Linked DNA regions of Tamandua tetradactyla. The protein of the gene in region 2 interacts with the protein of the main gene of each other region in a pairwise test. Links are inferred from orthologs where the notes say so. Each region holds a gene or a part of one and is shown on either strand. Other genes may lie near its edges.

What was found.
Region 1: the proteins of alpha-2-macroglobulin-like (region 2) and C8H11orf58 interact in a two-hybrid assay, tested with the Homo sapiens proteins (2 studies listed by BioGRID and IntAct). The link is inferred for Tamandua tetradactyla from reciprocal best matches to the Homo sapiens genes A2M and C11orf58.

The regions. Positions count from the first base shown.
Region 1 is NC_135334.1:92,139,489-92,146,506, reverse strand, and holds the start of C8H11orf58 (small acidic protein), read right to left. Parts: upstream 3,016-7,018; 5' UTR 2,864-3,015; coding exon 2,801-2,863; intron 1-2,800.
Region 2 is NC_135333.1:71,347,145-71,354,193, forward strand, and holds the start of alpha-2-macroglobulin-like, read right to left. Parts: upstream 3,015-7,049; 5' UTR 2,930-3,014; coding exon 2,847-2,929; intron 865-2,846; coding exon 681-864; intron 1-680. UniProt on the Homo sapiens protein: Is able to inhibit all four classes of proteinases by a unique 'trapping' mechanism. This protein has a peptide stretch, called the 'bait region' which contains specific cleavage sites for different proteinases.

The DNA of each region.
Region 1 (7,018 bases), on a different chromosome or scaffold from region 2:
AAAAAAAGTACTGGTGAAACTTCAGTTCGGCTTTTCACTAAATCTCCTCCTTTGTGAGTCTAAACCTAACATTTAAATTCTTAGTTTTAATTCCTTATCTACAGAGGCTTCTTTAAAAGATTGTCTTAACACAAACAACTGCTCAATGTTTTGCAATTTACAAAGTGCTTTTCACTTACATTCTCTCAAGAGCTCCTTACAACAGTCCATTTAACAAATAAGGATCCTGAGGTGCAGAGAGGCTAAGTAACTTGCCTAGATCCTCTAACCTTAACTCCTCTGCTCTTTCCACATCATATTGGATGATCAGATGAAATAAGAGTATGAGAAAATAGCCTATGAACCAGTTATAAAATTGTACAGATTTAAGTTAAAAAGAAACCTGTCTAAAAAACAAAACTTTTCCCATTCTATCAACATTGAAAGAACAAACATTCTCAATGATTTACATAAACAACCCTATCATCTTAATGTTTTCTTTAATCCTTCTGATTCATCCATTTAGTCCTCTCATGCTTCCTTTCAAAGGCCTTAGAGTATAAGAGCAAGTAGTACATCGTTCAAGTGCTGCATTCGAAAAAGCACAGGGAGGCCCAGTATATTCTCTCTCCACCAGTTGCTAAAATTAACCTCCCCACTCCCCAAAGATAGTTTTGATTTCTCCATTCCAATCAAATCAATAAAACACTGAAACCACTGAAGCAATTTTTAAGTTGTCTTCATCCTCAGTACCCTTAATAACATTTACCATAGAACTGCAATCAATCTACCTCCTCGAAACATCCCCTAATAATGCTTACTTAAAATTTACTTCTATACTGCCAACATTTTCTGAGAGTTCTATTTGTTAATGCAATTTCTACTTTTAATATCTTTTAAAATACAGTTACTTCCAAAAATATGTATATATCGTTACTTCCAATTAACAAATAAGCTCAGTGGGCAAAGGAAAAGTGATGTATTTTACATGCAGTGGACGTTCATTAGAGACTGTTGACCAACTATGTATTATAACTAAGTTGGTTTTCCACAACAATTTAGATTTATTTCTTTAAAATATATTTCACATTTTTAAAGTAATAATGTAATAATGTAATATACTTTACATTATTAAAGTAATAATTAAAAAACTACTAAAAATTACTAAAATCAAGTACTTAACGATAACCCCAATTACCAGTAAAAATAATAAAAATTCACATTAAAGAAAAAACTGACTTCAAACAAGATCGAGGGAAACTTACTGTACTGCACTGTACTATAACATTAGCAATAAAATCATTTTTAGTGTGTGAAGGCCCTAATCTTGAATTGCAACTATAACGATCTCCTTCAAAGGGAATGACTCTAGAATTTTAAAAGGTTTTAAAGATAGAGTTTAACTGACTGCATCAGAAGTTGCAGAGACTTAATCCCTTTAACTTTCCGTTAAATAACAAAAATATCACCTGGAGTTTTCTGTTAGGCTAATTATTTCTCTGCAAAACAGGTGGCTGACATCCTAGCAATCAAGCCACAGCTAACAAATACCAGGAGGAAAACAAATAGCTTTAAAAATGGCAGCTAAGTTACTCAAAACCCTGAAGGCTAGTAGAAGGGAGAAAGAGAGGGCATAAATAAAACTTACTGGATAACCATTAGTCCCAAATCTAAGGACCTAAAATTAATCTCCTTAAACACCCTTACAGTTCTGGTCTTCATCTCACCTTCCAACTACAGAGGAGTGGCTCTTACCACCATTTCCTCTATTACAACTGATGGCATTAGTAGTATTCCACCGCCTTCTTATGGTTCACAAAATAAGATTATGAGAAGCATTTAACTGCATTATTGAAAAGTCTACACATTCAAAAATCAGTAACAGTAACTGAAATAAAACTAGATGTCATCCCTTCATTATCCTTAAATTTGACCTCGCCTGTAAGGACTTTTCCACCTCCCAGCCCACCCGTAACCTCAATTTCCCCATCAACGTTCCCATGGCATCATCTATTGTAGGAAAGATTTGGTTTTAGGTATACCGATTACCTGCAGTCTCCATGACACTGCGCTACGACAAATATACAAAAAGGCGCACGATACCTATTCATCTCTGCATTCCCAACACCAGGTAAAGCAGTAAATATTTTATGGGTTACTTTAAAGAGTTAGTGGTTTGTTATTTAAACTGACAAACTGAGCTGGAAGAATTTTCCCAAGAGAAGGGAAAATGAGGCATCTGACATCAAAATGGACTTCTAGGTCTCACCGCCTTGGACCTCACCACCATGTGCCAGTACCAAATTATTCCCCTGGTAAAATTTTCGGCCTAACATTGTTTTCGGTCATACGAGTACACTGAAAAACCACCCTGCCCAAAAAATTTACTTCAATCTGACGAACATCTTGACGTTATCATAGGTGTAATTAAAAGGTAAAACACAGAAAGTCTTGCTATTTCTACGCTGAATAGAAAGGTCCAAAAGAAGCACTATCACATTCCCCATTCCTTTTTCTCCAAATACGCAAATATGAGGATCCTTTCATTAAGCTCTTTCACTTCTTGACCCTTTGAGGGTATCCTTCTTCAAGCCCCCTTCCTACGCAGGTCTCTGGCTCTTGGCGTATGGACCTTGTTTTCACACTTTCCGACCCTAACTAAGGAAGATATACATTTCCAGTAATTCTACTGGTTCCTCCCCCCCCCCCCAACCTTCCGCCTTTGGGCCACCTCTGGCGCGTTCTTCTTCATCCACCCTTTCCGGCCTACCGCAGCCTTTAGTAGGCCTCAACCCTCAACCATTCCTCCATTGTTATTTACATCGTCGTCTGGGGAGGCTGAACGCTTCACCCCGTGCGGGTGGGACTCCCTGGCAGCACTCATCGTTGCGGGGATCTCGACAGGAAATGCCGAATCCACCCGCCGTTCGCCTCAGCCGCGGAGATACCAGCCTGCACCCTGCCACCCGTTCAAGCAGCGCCACTCCAGAACGCAGAGCCCTTCGGGCCTTCTCGGCCACAGTCGTCACTGCCGCGGGTGCTCGCCACCCCGGTCCACTCTGGGAATTGTAGTTTTCTGGCTCTCTCCTTACGTGTCTACACAAAGGATGGACGCTGACTAAAACTACAGATCCCAGGAATCCCAGCGGGCGCAGTTCGCGCTGTGGGGCGGGAGTGCCCTCTAAGTCTCCGCCCTCTTCGGCTGGTGGAGGGAGCTTTTCTGCTGACGGGTATGGCGATGATGGCGGTGATGGTGGTGAGCGTTGGAAGAAAGTTTCGACGCCTGAGAAAGAGAGTTAGACTGGGTTTTCACATTTCACCGTGAGACGCTTCCCCGTTGGCAAATGCATCCGTTGTAATTAAGCACCTAGGTTGGAATGTAATGTCGTTTTTGGCTTATAGAATCTTCTGAGTACCCTCCCCTCATGACAAACAACAACAACAAAACAAAAAAACCCAAAAAAAACCTTAAAAAAAAATGGCTTCTGTGGTTCCCACCCTTGGTGTGTGTTGCCTATTGCTCACAGAGTATTTCTAGGTGACTGGTGATGCCTCTTTCTAGAAGAGTTTGACGAATGTCTTGGTGATTTCTCATTCTCACCTAAATGAGTCCAGCACGTCGAGTGCCGGCTAATTGGCTGTTATTAAAGCTAGGGTCGAGCCGGGAGAATACTTGAAGCTTTCCACACTGCTTTGTTTGAGGTGGGCGTGACACTATCCGATTTTGCTACCGATGGATAGGCATTGTAATGTCTGGGCCTTCTCCAAGTGAAGTTCATTTCTGCCAGAAAGCCCTGTATCGTGCTTTTTAAAAAAAAAAATTATTTTATGTTTTACTTTTAAAAAGTACCGTTTTAAAGTGTACAGTTCTTTGGCATTCGGTACATTATCAGTGTTGTGCAAGACATTTTTACCTTAAAAGGAAACACCTTGCCCATTAAGCAACCCCTGATAACCACTAGTCTGCTCAGAAAGCCCTGTATCTTAACGTATTATTCCAATACCATAGTCTCATTCCTGCAGTATTGAGGATGTTTGAATTTTTAACCAGGCCTGAACCTGATTGATTACCTTTCAACTCTAACCTTCTGTCAGGACCTGGCATATCGTGGGGCTTTCTGACCTCGATCAAAACTTTATATACTTTAAAGCAAAAATCAGTAAGTGGTATGACAGCACAGATTTTGTGTTTTAGTGCCGAGAGCAGTCTGTGAAACAGTGCTTAACTGCTAGCTTCTGAGCTTAGCAATTACTCCAGTTTGACTGCCTGTGTAGAAATTGTGACTTCCTTAGGTGTGAGACAGTTCTTTAATTATACATCATATATTCAAATTCTCCTTTATTTTGAAAGCAGAGGAATACCAGTAGTATAATTAGGATAATATTTTTTAAAAAGTGAACAGGGTCATGTTTTATTAAGTGTAACCAAGCACAGGGCACCTCAATCTATCTGTTCCGTGGTAAAAATAAACCGTAAATCATGTTAGAGGAGTAAACCTATGCCGAGAGCACCTTTTGGAAGTGTTTGCTTATATTTGCTACAAATTATTTTACCTACTTCATGATTCTACCAAGGTTCTATAAATATAATTACAATGAAATTAAGTTACATTTTTCTGGGATGGATTACAGTTCTCCAATGGGTTTAACAGAGTGTAATGTATATTATTTAGAACTCTTAGCTGTATTACCAGTAAATAAATGGTATGACTTAATAGATACTTTAGACTGAAATTTAAAAAATAGTTCTTACTTTAAAAATTAGTGAAAGTTTGGAAAAATTTAATAAGCTAGCAACATGTCTTTTCTTTCTTTACTAGAATTGTTGACATCTGGATGGCTAAGTCTTCAGGTTGTCATTGAAACAAGAACACAAGCCAGAAAGTAATATAAGACATAATAAAGACTGGATCATTTTATCAAATTTTATTCAGATCATTTTATCAGATTTTCCTTCATATACAGAAGCCTATAGGTAAGGATGGAATGATACAGTATAATAAAATGACAATGTATATGTGATATAGAAACCTAGTAATGCTCTTCTTGTGCTAAAAACAAGATACTCTGTTACAAGGGGAACTTTGAAATACATTCTTCAGGATTGTATCTATTTCATTTTAGACACAAAGTAGTCAATAAGTATTTTTTAATTAATATAGGAAAAATGAACTTATATAGTGTAACAGAGTGGCATCTCATATAAGGCCTAGAAACTCAGCAGTGTCCTTTTTTGAGTAGTAAAGACAAGGAAAGGAGAGCTTGTTTTTAATAGAATTTTGAAATTCTTTTCCAAGGGTAGAAACCATGCCTTCTTCATTTTTCAATACCCGGTTCTTAGCATGTAGTAGGCAATCATAAATGTTTGTTGAGTACATACATTAACATTCCATTCAACTAAGGATAGTCACAACTGAGCATAGTTTACAAACCTAAAGAGGAAATAAAAGCTTCAAAGAATATTTTCTCTACAGAAGACCTGTTGTTGTTTTACCTGAGACATTCTGAGGTAACCACTATTAATATCTAAGAACAATTCCTTCTAGTCTCTTTTTTTCTAGTGATTCGAGGCTATTCATTTTGTTTTTAATAAATCCGTAGTTATAGTTTACCTTTTATTCTAATCTAAAGTAAATCAGTATCTCATTGTTTTATGACTCCCCATATATTTGAAGAAGTTAGAACCTTTACTTTTTTAATTAGAGAAGTTGTAGGTTTATACAACAATCATGCATAAAACACAGGATTCCCATATACCACCCCATTAATACTTTGCATAGGTGTGATATATTTGTTACAGTTGATGAAAGCACATTTTAATAATTGTACTATTCACTTTAGTCCATAGTTTAACTTAGGATTCACTGTGTTATGCTGTTCCATGGAGTTTTTAAAAAATTTTTATTCTAGTATCTTATAAGCAACCTAACATTTCCCCTTTTAACCACATTCAGATGTACAGTTCAGAAATGTTAATTACATTCACAATGTTCTGTCATCACCACCATCCAATACCAGAATATGTCCATCTTTCCAAAGAGGAACTTTGTGCATTTTCCTGTTTTTGTTTTTTATGTAGTAGTTGTTGTTGTTTGTTTTTTGGCATGGGCAGGCTTTGGGAATCGAACCTGGGTCTCTTTTGATTATAATAATCTGAGTTGGTGTGAAGTTGCCTGTTGCCTTCAGAAGTTTTTTTTTTTCTCTAACTTTTTAGAATGTAAAATAAAACTCATATAACATAAAATTTATCATTTTAACCATTTAAAAGTATACAATTTAGTAGTTTTTGTTATATTCACAATGTTGTACAGCTATAACCATTACTAATTCCAGAACATTTTCATCATTCCAAAATGAAATCCTGTGTCCATTAAGCACTTATATTTATATGAAAGTCATGATTTTACTATTTTGGAAATTATACTTAAAATTTTAATCTGCTTATATGATACAGATATAAGTGATACAGATAAGTATATATAAGGATTTTTTAAAAGTATAAAAATACTTTTTTATTTTTACATATAAAAATATAATGTGCTGAAAATGAATAAAATACTTATTTACTAAACTATGTAATAATTTTCCTTACCACAATAATATATGTGCATTGAAGATAAGTTAAAATATATTTATAGGCAAGAAAAATATTAAAATTAAAAATACTTATAATCTCACCCCCCCAAAATAATAACCACTGTTAAGACTTTGCAATACGGGTTTTCAGACTTATTTCTTTGCAATATTCTATGTAATATTTTTCCTAAAATAGGATAATTCTGTACAATTGTTATAACCCTACTTTTTTTTTCTTAAGAGTATATCATGAACATCTTTTTGACAGTGACTTTTTGAAGGTTGTAGTTCAGAATTTCTAAGGAGAGAAGGCCAACAAAGCTTCTTGCTAGTTACTTTGACTCTAATAACTTTGCAGGTGACATGTTATTATTTTAGAAAAGAACAGCATGTTCAATAGGCACACGAAATCTCTGACTATAGAAGAGATTAAAGCAAAATATTTTATTCCTCTGAATTACAA
Region 2 (7,049 bases):
GGAGAAGTAATTTCTGGCCTACCAAATGGAGGGAAATACTTCATTTAGTAGGAAAGATCATGAATGAGACTCATGTCTCCATATAGCTGAGACAGTTCAGTATTGATTTCAGTTACACCCTGAAATTTACCAAGTTGATACCATATGTTAATAGGGCAGGATAAAAGTATGTCTTAAGCTTGTGAGAAAAAAAACTACAAATATTTTATTGGAACTGGATGTAAACATCCCATATTTCCCAATTTTGAAGAGACATTTGACATTTGCTCAAAGCAATTTCTACAAGTTTCACTCTTGAAAGGAGTGTAGGTAGTGTATTCCTATCAACCCACACTTGGAAACTCATGTTTAGCTTTGGCCTAGTTTGCTTTGTTAATGCTTAGTCCATTTTGATGTTAAGGAGAAATCGCATTTTCCTTTTGTCTAATGCACACAGTTCTCCCTCCCCACCTCCACCCACTACACTTGGCCAACAGGAGTTTTCTTTGATCATTAAGTTGTTTTTTTTAAATGCCTTTAAATATTTCTGTCCCTCATGGCTGGAAATTCACGCATAGTTCTTTAATTGCTGTACTCAGTTGCCACATTTAGATTCTTTCAAGAAGTTGTTACCAGCCTCCTAGAGCCTTCTCTTGACTGACCTGTAGAATCCAGCATATTAAATAGACAGCCATACTCACAGTGAAGGAGAAGCAGTGGAACAGGTCCTTTTCTGCCACGAGGTCAGTGAAGAGGCTTTGGTTTCTCCTCAAAGACTCCAGGGAAGCCGTTACAGTCACTGTCTCATTCAGGTGGCTCAGAAGGAGGCAGCCTTTCTCGGGGGTCTCAGTGTGGAGCAGAGAGGGGACCAGCGCCATATACTGCCTGAGAAGGAAGGAAGTCCAGACAGAGCAGCAGCACTGTCACCAACAGCACCATTTCCATCACAGTTATCATCGTCATTAGTTCTAGACCAAGAGAAGACTGACTTGCTAAGCATGAATTTGACATTTTTGTTGAATAGCCTGCACGAGAATTAGTCCCCTTTTGCATCAGCAGTGCCATGGCAGTGAACACTTTACTTAAAGTGGGTCTTAAACCTATTCAAATTTTACAAATGTACGTCACTTTAAGCAATCTCTATATGCGAGTATCTGAACTCAAATTTAAAATGTCAATTGTTTATTCATGTTGTAAATCTATTTTACATGAGGATTGCTGGGGCATGGGATGTGGGTATTATAAAAGCCAGTCAATTTACAGAACTTTAATTGCCTATGTATATTCAATAACCTAGTGAAAATGAAATGGCAATCTGAGGCCTAAAGAAAGTGAATCAACAGCCAAAAGTTTTAATTGTGGTAAATAATGAAGTCTTAATGTATTACCTACACATGGGCGTTTGCATTTCAAATATTTGCCTTTCATCTCATGGCTAGACAAGAGCTCCAGGATTTTAATAACTCGTGAGTTGGAAGGAGTTACTAAATATATATATGGGGCATATATGTGACCTGCAATTTTTCAAACACTTTGATAACAGAACTCCTAATATTTTGGCACTGTTCACCCTTACATATTTTCAGGAAAACATCTATTTTTCATCACAAGTCTAAATAATAGCAAAAGATATTTCTGATGACATTTTAAATGAAAACTTACATTACCCTTATAAGGTGTCCATGAAATTTTATATATCATAGTAGGAGATCCAATATCATCTATTTTTAAAATATATTAAAAATCCTTTTTTTTTGATGGTTATAAGTTTAACGTCTTTCCCTTTTGTCCTCCTTGAACTTGAATTTCCATGTCTCAACATACAGAAGTTTATCTTAAGATTTTTATGCTTCAAAATGTACATTTGTATATATGCAATAGTATATGAGGATGTATTAATTTAGCTTTAATTCTTTTAACTTTAATAAGACTATGAAGTTTAAAAATTTAAAATTTTTCTTCTGGGTTGAATTATTTTCAGAAGTGATTGATAAGTATGTGATAGATAAAAATATATTACAAATTCTGATTCATACATATAAAATTAACATACTTTTGAAGCACATTTTTCACAATAATGAAAGCAGACTTTCCTTCCAAATTTATGTATCCATGGATGAATATGCCTTATTGTAAGGATTAAACAAGGTTTAACATTAATTCTGTTCCTATTTTTGGGTCATGTAAATAGAAGTGCTGAGAAAAATTGTTCATATTATAATTAAATAAATGACAGGTAAAACAAATGTATCATCATCACTCATTTTTTGCAACGTTTGCATTACATGCCCCAAATAAGCAAAACTCTATTATCAGTGCATCAACTGATATTTCCTGTAGATCCTTCAATTTTATTTAAATAAAAGTTGGTCACTACCTGATCTGTAAAAGGATTTTCTCCCCTGTCATTGGAAACTTTTCACTTTCTCAATATCAACATCAGTATTTCAAATGGTTACTTTATTTGGCACAATGTGCCACTGTAGGTTCTGGTTGAAGGAGTTTATCTTTCTTTTAAAAAGTGGAAGATGGGCGATTAAGAAAAAGGGTGTGTGTGTGATATGAAAGGATCAACAGCATGATCACAGGCAGATCAAAATGAACGTAAGAGTCTGGAAATTGATAATTTTAAACGTATCAATTTTCTATGCTCTCTAGAAGGCCTTTGCATATACTTTGGGAATTTAGAGATTCTGAGATCCAGGGAGTCAGAGCAAAAGAGTCAAGGCGAAGTGAAAAATGGATAAACAAAATCTAATGATTGGAAGGGAACTTAGAGAAAAGAAGGACACAGTTTCATAGGAGAGACAAAGGAATCCTATAAAGGACAATTTGAAATAAAGGAATATTCAAACTCTGAAACTCACGGTTCTCCAGAGACGGAGGCATCCATGGGCAGGAGGACCAGGAGGAGAAGAAGACTTGGATGAAGGGGTTTGTTCTGCCCCATGCTGCAGGGAGAAAGTACGTGAAGACAGCAGATTGTATTGTGCCCTACTCCATGCACTTGGTCTGGTCCTCAAACCCCCACAAGAAACTGGGCTTTATACTGCACTTTGTGTAAACAGGAAGTTCCACCCACACAGGTCTGTAAACAAAGTTGAGGTCTCTAAACATTTTTTTGAAAGGGTCATTGCTCTTAGTGACAGCCAAATTACAGTCAAGGTTAATTCCTGGCTGGCTAAATAGAATTCCTGGAGGATAAGATCCACATTCCTGTTAGTCCACACTTTCTCTGGGTTTTACTGTAAAGCAGCTAATCAGGGCTTTTCAAGTCCTTCCCTCACCTCCTCCCCATTGCTTTTAATGGCCCTCCTTACATCTCTTGCATGAATAGTTGGCAGGGGAGACTGCAGATTAAGCAGCACTGGGCAAGCTCAAAATAGTTGTTTCACCACAAGTCACTGTGCCTGCAATCATCCATTAGATATACCTAATTAAATATGGAAGGTACTTCAGAATTCAGTAGCCCCCTGTGGAAGTATCAATCTGGATTGGAGTAATACCTTAAGCTAACAGTTTTACTTTAAGGATATTGCTAAATTGCAGATGAAGAACCAGATCCTGAAAGAATGGGAATAGGCACACATTTTCTCTTTTAAGAAAGTGAAAGATAAAAGGAAAGATAAAAAAGAAAGTGAAAGGTAAAAGTAGCAGGACCTCAAAAGTGAGTTCTGAAGTGAGTTCTGTCCTACTGTGACTGACAAAGAGCCCAATTGCCTTCTCCCTCAACTACATTACTGCCTTATGAATATGCTGCTCCTCTTCAATCATTGGTCTATGTAAACAATCCATTCATTCAACCATTCAGTTGTAGGTTCATTGAACCTACTAAGAGATAAGCGCCATGCAGTGTCCTAGAGATAGAATGATCAAAGAAGCATAAAAGTCTCAGATTCTTGTGGGGGTGAAAACAGACAAGTAAACTTTCCCCTAAAATGTATAGTTATTTCCTCTATGTCTTAGTTTGTCGAAATTATCAAACGACATTTAAAAAATTATCCATTTCCATTGAGTCTTTCTAGACTTTTAATTTATTATTATAATTTGTAATTATAATAATAATATAATTGATTTACTCTACATGGGCCACAGGGATGGGGGGAGCCCCTGAAGGACTGTGCCCACCCCAGACAACCTCGTTCTCAGAGGTGTGTGCAATAGAGACTTCAGCATCATGGGGGTGTGAGGATAGGGCAGAGTTTTTGCCTTGACCTCACTGTTCTAGTTGCTAGCTGCTGGAATGCAATATACCAGAAATGGAATGGCTTTTAAAAAGGGAACTTTAATAAGTTGCTAGTTTATAGTTCTGAGGCTGAGAAACTATCCCAATTAAAACAAATCTATAGAATAATGTTCAATCGAAGGCATCCAGGGAAAGATACCTTGGTTCAAGAAGGCTGATGAAGTTCAAGGTTTCTCTTTCAAGTGGAAGGGCACATAGTAAACACAATGAGTTCCTTTCTCATCTGGAAGGGCACATGGAGAACACAGCTTCTCATCTGCTAGCTTCTTCTCCTGGCTTCCTGTTTCATGAAGCTCCCCCAGAGACATTTTCCTTCTTCAACTCCAAAGGTTGCTGGCTGGTGGACTCTTCTTCTCGTGGCTATGTCATTCTGCTCTGCTCTCTCTGAATTGCTCTCATTCTTCAAAATGTTTCCTCTTTTATAGGACTCCAGAACTTATCAAGACCCACCCAAATGGGTGGAGACATGTCATCACCTAACCCAACTTAACAACTACTCTTGATTAAATCACATCTCCAGAGAGATGATCTGATTACAGTTTCAAACATACAGTATTGAATAGGGATTATTCTGCCTTTACAAAATGGAATTTTGATTAAAACATGGCTTTTCTAGCACACTCACCAATCTGTTTTCTAGAAGACTAGGCTTGCAGGGGGCAGGAGCATGTCAGAAAGGGGGATAGAAGCTGTGAAACATCTGTGAAAAGGACAGTGGCTCTAATTCAACACAGGCAATCTCCTCTGAAGTGAACAGAAATAACATTTCTGGTAATAACTGCTCTTGGGTCCAATTTGGCAAGATCGATCATCTCCACCATAACACTTGAAGCTGCCTGGACCAGTGGTTGCGTCCCTTGTACTTTTATGTGAGCACATATGCCGTCAGGCATAGCAGACTGTTGTGTGAGTCTCAGGCTGTCTGTGGCACCCAAGTCCCTTTCATCCTTGCCAGCTTACCTTTGTTCTTGAAAGGGAAGACTTTGGTGCTCCAGAGAGACCTCTCAGAACTGGTAGGTGCGTTCATTTGCTTTATATAGTGTAGGGAGCTTTCCACATCTCTACCCCACCCTCCACATCCTCACTTGGCATTTGGGGTGTGCAGATGTCACCCTCAGAAACCAGGGACTTGTGCTGTGATCAGGTCCACTGGATCAGCCACCCCTGACTCCTGAGTCATGACACCTTAGCGTCATTTCGTCATCTGTGTTTCTGTTTCCCTTTGGAGTTTCATCCCCGTTCTTATCTCTGTTCCTGGGGAATAAACACTGCCATGGGATCTGAAAAATAATTAGGGGAATATATTACAATGATTCTCAGCAAGCATATAACTCATCTATCTGCTAGGAGCAAAAGTGTATGGAATACTACAAAATATTATTAGTCACAAGTATTTAATATTCCACTAATTTCATTTTCTACGACAGAGAATGCAATTTCACCTGGTGGTAAAACTGGTTAAGAGAGTTTTTACTATAGTTCATTTTTGTCTCAGCAGAAAGAAATGTTATGTAAGACATGATACTTCATTTAAACTTTATTACAAAGCAGTAACAGCTGTTTCAATTTCATATTTAAGGCAAAATCTTTTCTGTGAAGCAGCTGTTTGTGTGACACAGGACCATTTTGAGAAAAATTTAAATTTGCTACTTCTCCTGTGGCTCATCGGGTCTGGGATAGGTTCCTTAAATTCACTGTGCATCTGATTTCCAAGCACGGATTTATCCCATGCAGCAGTTCAGAATACAGGAATTCTAGGTCCTTATTGGATATCTTCATTGGGCCACCCTCTCACTCCTGTAAGAAGCTCTACTGAAAGGGGTAATGTCTATAAGAGTGTATAACTTAAATACCAGGCTGCTCCAAATCTAGAAATATTCTTTTAGTATTCCCTTAAGTATCTGCTCTTGTCTCCAACATGAAACACCATAGAATACCATCTACAATTCAGCTGATCACCACACAAAATTACTGTATGTGGTTCTGGTGTTTTAAACTTTAGTAAAATAGTTGGAATAATTAAAGGAACTATTGAATTGTATAGCAGAAGAAGGAAAAGGCAAAGGTGTATAATCTTTCCTACAGTCCATGAGATAAAGCCCTAGGATATTCAATTCCCTTGATGGGGTCCTTCATCCCACTCCAGCTCCTAACTTCAGGTTCTTGTTCCAGGTACATTTCTTTTTATAAATGTACCACACTAATGTAAAGTGTTCGTAACAGGGAAAGCTGTGTGTGTGTGCGTACGTGTGTGTGTGTGGTTATATGGGTACTCTGTATTTTCTACATTATTTTTCTGTAAACCTATTTCTTATAAAAATTTTAAAAATTAAAAAAAGTACCTTGTTCTTCATTTCTTTGCTAATTTTCCAACAAACTTTTGAAAATCCCTATTTAATACTCCTAAGAATTGACCTGTCTCTGATCAGCAGTACATTTCTCCAAGTCTGGATTGTTCCAACTGGAATAATGGCTGGGCAGTGGGCTTCAGTGGGATATCCAATGGTGGTCGTTGGCACTCTGCTCTGGGGTATAAAGGCTGCACTTTACGTTCCATAGTGCAGTCCAGGGGAAGTCTGGGGGCTTGAAGCCTGGTCTTCCCTCAGATTCTACTCACCAGTGGACATTGTATCTTGCTGACCTTGATAAGTCTGCTTATAACAAAATGATTCTTACAGTTTTTAAGAATGCAATTAATTTCTAAGCCAAGATATAGTTGTTTTCTTTCTAGTTTTCTATGGCAGAATATGGGGTAAAGGTGTGTGGTGGTTTGAAACTATCTGTAGCTCAGAAAAATATGTTCTTAAAGTTAATCCATTCCTGT